Daphnia pulex: one gene and its partner. The protein of the gene in region 2 purifies or fractionates together with the protein of the main gene of each other region. This does not show direct contact. Links are inferred from orthologs where the notes say so. Each region holds a gene or a part of one and is shown on either strand. Other genes may lie near its edges.

What was found. Proteins that work in one complex are often made in the same cells at the same time.
Region 1: the proteins of general transcription factor IIH subunit 5-like (region 2) and cyclin-dependent kinase 7-like purify together in Homo sapiens (affinity purification with mass spectrometry; 7 studies listed by BioGRID and IntAct, with this or other methods). This does not show direct contact. The link is inferred for Daphnia pulex from reciprocal best matches to the Homo sapiens genes GTF2H5 and CDK7.

The regions. Positions count from the first base shown.
Region 1 is NC_060020.1:946,410-950,004, forward strand, and holds cyclin-dependent kinase 7-like, read left to right. Parts: upstream 1-1,418; 5' UTR 1,419-1,492; coding exon 1,493-1,564; intron 1,565-1,624; coding exon 1,625-1,687; intron 1,688-1,758; coding exon 1,759-2,040; intron 2,041-2,121; coding exon 2,122-2,249; intron 2,250-2,313; coding exon 2,314-2,491; intron 2,492-2,562; coding exon 2,563-2,735; intron 2,736-2,789; coding exon 2,790-2,931; 3' UTR 2,932-2,967; downstream 2,968-3,595. Other genes in the region: DET1 homolog, read right to left, coding at 44-1,192; NADH-quinone oxidoreductase subunit B 2-like, read right to left, coding at 3,037-3,240, 3,300-3,509, 3,587-3,595. UniProt on the Homo sapiens protein: Serine/threonine kinase involved in cell cycle control and in RNA polymerase II-mediated RNA transcription. Cyclin-dependent kinases (CDKs) are activated by the binding to a cyclin and mediate the progression through the cell cycle.
Region 2 is NC_060021.1:7,407,832-7,410,680, reverse strand, and holds general transcription factor IIH subunit 5-like, read right to left. Parts: upstream 1,431-2,849; 5' UTR 1,422-1,430; coding exon 1,329-1,421; intron 1,045-1,328; coding exon 937-1,044; intron 867-936; coding exon 777-866; 3' UTR 749-776; downstream 1-748. Other genes in the region: septin-1-like, read right to left, coding at 166-394, 464-557, 616-748, 2,130-2,301, 2,372-2,509, 2,588-2,697, 2,757-2,849. UniProt on the Homo sapiens protein: Component of the general transcription and DNA repair factor IIH (TFIIH) core complex, which is involved in general and transcription-coupled nucleotide excision repair (NER) of damaged DNA and, when complexed to CAK, in RNA transcription by RNA polymerase II.

The DNA.
Region 1 (3,595 bases), on a different chromosome or scaffold from region 2:
TACGTGGGATTAAGTTTTTTTCTTTTAATTATAATCAAGATACCTGTGCGTTTTCCATATTGTAAACGACAAAGAAGGCCGGTTGCGTATTTGGGTCTGGAGCTCGTAGTGTAACCACATCTTCACTAGCATATTTCAGAAGCAAATGTGACTCATCCAACAACTGCATTTTCCAGATTCGGAGTGCGCGAATGTGATCAAAGTTCTGATAGAACTTTCGTACGTGAAAGAGATTCCCTTCGGCTTCAGCCATGTTGATTGCTCGTCGGTAGAGAAACACTAGTAAACGATGCTTGAGCGCGTTGACAGTTGCCTCTCGAAACGGACGAACCAACTGACCCGAAGGCCAAAGTCCCCGTACTTGATTGATTAACCATTCGTCATCGTCGAAACAAAATCGACCTATAGTTTTTACATCAGCAAAATAGCCATCGTGTGAAATTTTAAAAATGTGTATCGTTTGATGCTGGACAGAGAGAACTGCTAGAGTGTCTTCATACAAGTAAAGTCCTTGGTTGTGTGAGAGAAAGATTTTGTCGGTCTTCATTGTTCTAGTATCACAGAGCCTTCCATTGACGATGTCAACGATGTGAAGTGAGCAATCTTCTAGTGGAGAACGAGGATGAGGAGATACGGATTCATTATTACGGAAAATATCAAAAAAATTTGGCTGGGGCTCTTCGGGAACGTACGAGGCTGAACCGACAATAACAAATCTTCCGTCACCGACAAAGAGACTGCATTCGCGATTTAGTTGTTCACCAACAGGAGTTACAGCAATAGTATGCTTTAACTGGAAGAATTTAGAAAATACTTTACTTCTTAAATTTACAGCTTCATTGGTATCATTTCCAACAAACTCTCTCGTTCCTGGAACATCTGTAAGTAAATCTTCTACTGCACTTGGTCCAAGATATTTGTAAACTTCCACTGAAGTTTGATCTGAAGAGAATGCAATAAAGTACTTGCCGTTGGGTGTAAATTTTCTCAAATAGCATGGTGGCTTTTCTATGTTGACAATTGTAAAATTTGGGACAACACTTTGATAAAATGATCGGCAAATGTGATAGTTTCCGGGTTTGACATGAGTCTCTCGACGAATCAGTCGAATTACAACATTCTGCGAGGGAATTTTTCTAGGAGTCAACTCGAACTCACCATGGTCAGCCTGTCTATATTTGGGGTTCATCATTTTCAGAACCTTTTTTATTACTCGGCATTTTTACTACGTATCTGCAATTCCCATTTTATTCGCCGTGAATTTTAGAAGTTTCAGATTTTTAGTGATAAAGCACATGTGAAATAGAACTGAAGCAGGTTTGAGATGTCAAAATCCGAAACATTTTGTAGAACAGATCGATCTAGCGGTGGTAATAGAAAGATAAACAATAGTTTTTCACGCCACCTGTTGACGAGTGAAATTCCATTTTAAAATAATCGTTCTTGACGGGTGATTAAAAGTTGAAAGAAACTTTGAGTGTATGAATGAAAAATGCACGTGAGTGGAGAAAGAGAACCTAGACTTCAGCGATATGAAAAGATTGAATTTTTGGGAGAAGGACAGGTAAGGTTTTGATTGGCACTGTCTTTTGTGTATGTTCAACTGTTTTATTTTGTAATTTAGTTTGCGACAGTCTACAAGGCGAAAGATACTCTAAACGATAACAAAATAGTTGCCGTTAAAAAGGTTTAAAAAATGTGTTTTCATTTCAGCGTTTCCGGTTCGTTTATAAAATACTAACACTATTTCTGTTCAAGATTAAACTGGGTTCACGAGAAGAGGCTAGAGATGGAATCAATCGAACAGCTTTGAGAGAAATCAAGTTACTCCAAGAACTCAAGCATGACCATATAATTGGTTTACTTGATGTCTTTGGTCACCGTTCTAATGTATCTCTGGTGTTTGACTTTATGGATACTGATTTGGAGCAAATAATCAAGGACACAACCATCATTCTCACTCCAGCACACATTAAAGCTTACATTCTTATGACACTTCAAGGACTTGAATATCTCCATCTTCTATTTATTCTTCACAGAGTAATAATAATAATATATATTTTTCCCCTGTACATTATGACAGAAGTATGCACATTCTTTTTTTTTCAACTACCATTTTAGGATCTGAAACCTAACAATCTTCTTGTTGATCGTCAAGGAATACTGAAACTTGGTGATTTTGGTTTGGCAAAATCGTTTGCATCACCCACTCGTATCTACACTCACCAGGTTGTGACGAGGTGGTATAGGTAATTTGAAGAAATGCAACATAAATATTCAGCTGAAATTAAAATTGATCACACCTGAAACTAGGTGTCCAGAACTGTTGTTTGGTGCTCGAATGTACGGTACCGGTGTTGATGTATGGGCAGTAGGTTGCATAATGGCTGAACTTTTGCTTCGACTCCCCTTTTTACCTGGAGAATCTGACTTAGATCAACTTACACGTATTTTTACAACTTTGGGCACTCCAAACGAAGAGAATTGGCCAGTAAGTACATAAAACAATTTTGAACTCAACCGTCTCCCACCTTTAAACTCTAGTCATATTTCCTTGATTAGGGACTGCTTTCGCTACCAGATTTTGTTCAGTTTAAGGCTTTCCCCGTGATTCCAATGCGGCATATTTTCACCGCCGCCGGAGATGATTTGCTGCAGCTTTTGAGTCGTTTTTTGGCATTGCATCCTTTAGACAGGTGTACTTGTAGCGAAGCTTTGCAAATGCCGTATTTCAGGTATGTATTTTGATTAATTTTTAGATATAAAATTCTAAGTTTCTTCCTTAACAGCAATAAACCAGCTCCAGCTCCAGGATCATCTCTACCTCTACCTGCATCTCTAAGTCAAGCAGCAGTCGACAAAAGCGGAACAAAACGTAAAGTGACGGACAACGGGGAGGGAGGTTCATTAGCGAAACGTTTAGTTTTCTAATAAGTGGTTGAACCAATACATGTGTTTCTAATATAACCTCTAGGTTTATTTCCACCACTCTTGTTGATACAACTTTACAATTTCAGAAGCTTATGACACATTTGCTTATTTTCTGTACCACATCTGAATAGTCTTCATCCGTTTTACTTTTTTCTGTAACTGAAGGATGCCGTACATCAGCGCTTCGGCAGTAGGAGGGCAGCCAGGGACGTAGATGTCAACTGGGATAATCCTGTCGCAACCACGCACAACAGAATACGAATAATGGTAGTAGCCACCACCATTAGCGCAGCTTCCCATAGAAATTACCTGGAGATAAATAAATAAATTCATGATGCCTAATATCTGTGAGAAAGTGTTCCGGTTACCCAACGAGGTTCGGGCATCTGATCGTAAACTTTACGTAAAGCAGGAGCCATTTTGTTGGTAAGTGTACCAGCTACAATTATGACATCAGCCTGACGCGGAGAAGCACGAAATACCACACCATACCGATCCATGTCATATCGCGGAGCTGCAATGTGCATCATTTCTACAGCACAGCAGGCAAGCCCAAAGGTCAGAGGCCATAAAGATCCCTGAGAGCGAAAGTTGAATATTAAAATTTTTCCAGCTAATCCTTAATGATTAACTTCACATAATCTTTAATTTTTACCTTTCTTCC
Region 2 (2,849 bases):
CATATTTATAATTTGCCCAAAATCAAAAGGATTTTTATATGAGCATTTTAATACACTTTAATCATAGTTAGAGGAGCGCTGATTTATTTGTTCATTTAATAAGAAAAAGTATAATCGAAAAGGGTTTATTGATGAGATGACAAGTAAGAAAGCAATGGAATATTATTAGGCGGTCCACTTCAAGCAACGCGTGTCTTGATGAGTACCTAAGCATTTGACGCTACAGTACCTTGCGCCACAAGATAAACAGGTGTAACTACAAGTAAATCCACAAACAGCACAAAAATGACGTTCGGGAAACTTAGATGGTGGAACTTGAGCTGAAACATAATTTGGGGGCTCTGGGCGATTAACCTGTTCTTCCTCCAACAGCTGTGCAAAGGATTTTCGAAACCTGTAAAAGAGGAGAAATTACTTCAATAGAATTACACTTCGTTTCAGCAATTAATATTAAACAAAATACCGTTGTTTGAAAATTTCGAAATTTTTAGATTTCCTTCTTCTTGTTTGTTTACCATCAAGAGACTCTTCAAACTTGGGGATCTTTTTGCTTAGTACTGCATAAATATCCAGAATTAATGAAAGATCTGAAAACTAGCCAACTTACAAAAATACCTAAATTGGCATGAGGGTCATCATGAAAATTATCTTGCTCAAGTGCTTCCAATGCTTTCCTTGCTCTTCTCCTACGAGCTGCCTCATCCAAAACCCTTCTGGAATTGGCATCCTTCTGACGGGCTGACTCTCTCTGAGATGAATTCATGATGATAGATAATTTACTCGATTTCTCTTTCTGCCAAAGGAAAACTGATCCTGTCCATCAAATCATCAATTCTAGACTGCAAAACTTCCAGATATTCAGGTGCCTAACAGAGAAAATGTCAAAAAGATAAAAATACAAAATATGAGAAAATAGAAGTATTTTTTAAATTTTACAATGAAAACGTGAGTTTCATCCAAATCTTGAACTATGAATTTGTTGCCTAGAGCATGTGTCTCGTCTAAATGAAGAAGCAATTGTTTCATAGCAGCATCACATTCAACCTTTGGGTAATAATACAAATTCAAGTATAAATTTAACAATTAAGCACCATGTAAAGAAAAGGTAAACCATTATAAGTTGCCACCTGAGATACTTATTAATTTCTAAATCTATGACTATTTCCACGGGATAGTCCGATCGAATATTTTGTGCTTTCTTTCTGACAAGAAACTTTTACCAGCACAGTCAATTTCACTAGTGATTGAAGTAAGTTAAAATACCATACTTCAAATACAAAGATATAATAAATCAAGTGGCATTTATAAGTTTTACCGTAAATTATTACCAGAATTCCTTTAGTTACGTTTACCATCTTGCCCCATTGGTAAAAAGTAAGTAAGTAACTGATCGTCTGATCACCATTTTGGATTTTTGGCATCTTCTTTCAGCACTTCCAGCTTTTGATTGGCGTCGGTAGGTGGCGTCTTAAATTGAGCGGGAAAGGAGTTTGTTGGCGCATTATATAAAAATTTACAAGACTTCCATTCATAAAGGTTTGGTTTCACTTCAAGAAAACTAAGAAAAATTAAATCTTTTAATGGGAAAAAGGAAGCAAGAGTCTGAAAAAATTGTATATTGAAATACTGCGACCAGTACCGAGAGTCCGAGACACTAAAAAGAAAATGATTGGGTAGGATATTCGAGGCGCATCTGGGCTTTAATTGCCCTACATGGAAGAAAAATTCGAATGTACGCAAATGAGGAAAATTACTAGTGAAGTGACCAAATAATGAAGCACAGCGAATTTGTTAAATGTTGGCACTTGAATGGGATTTTATCGAGGAAACCTAAGATCTTCACATTGGAAGGTAAGAGTGCCAAGGGTGTTGAAACAGCAATCAAAGCTGAATAAACAGTCAAAACAGTAGAGAAGAATTCCTTTTGGTTTAAGTGACAACTGAAAATTGCTGTTAAAGACGACGCACAGTGCTATTGAGGTTGTTGTTGTTGCATTTGTGCTTGCATTTGAGCCAACATCTGTTGCATACGTCGTAGCTCCGCCTCTTTTTCCTGTGAGAACAAAACAATGATGCAAACGGTCGAAACACTATTTCCATTGTCTATTAATAACACAATAGTTACTAACCTGAAGTATTTTTTCTTTCTCACTAATCTGCTCCGGAGCAGCCGATGGCGCGGTGGAATTAGTTGGCCCAGCGGTTTTTCGATTCGAAGCTACACCTTTAGCAAGACGTTCTGATCGGTAGTTCTCATAGTGAACATCTTGTGTTACTTCCTGTAAATCTTGTAGCTGTTGACTAAATAATGAAAGAATTAAACGTTAGTGCAATGCAAGATTTTCGATCTTTGACGAGTCAAACAAGTTACATCAGCATCGTTCGGAGTTTAATGAAATCGCAGTGTTCAGGATTTTCAACTTCAACGACACCCCATGGATACTGCCGTCCGCGGACCTTTCGGCCCTTAACTTCAATCAACGTATTGGCCCCACATACAGCAAAAGGTCTGAATAAATGAATTATATTATTATTATTATTATGAATGAATTATAATTGTTATTAGTCTGAATGAATTATTACATACACTGCGTCTTTAAGCTGACGAACTTGCTCTTTGTAGTCTTCGTCTTCATCCGAATCGCAATCGGGAAGTGGGTAAATACGAATTCCGTTTGCCTCAATTTCTTCCATGACCTAATAATTTTTTAGTTAAACAAGTTTATAATAAATCTAAATGTTGGTCACAATTTTACCCTTTTCTTCAACCGAGCAATTTCTTTCTTTGTTAGCATATCTGCTTTAGCGATTACAGGCACGATGTTGACTTTGTGATGCAGCATTTTCAT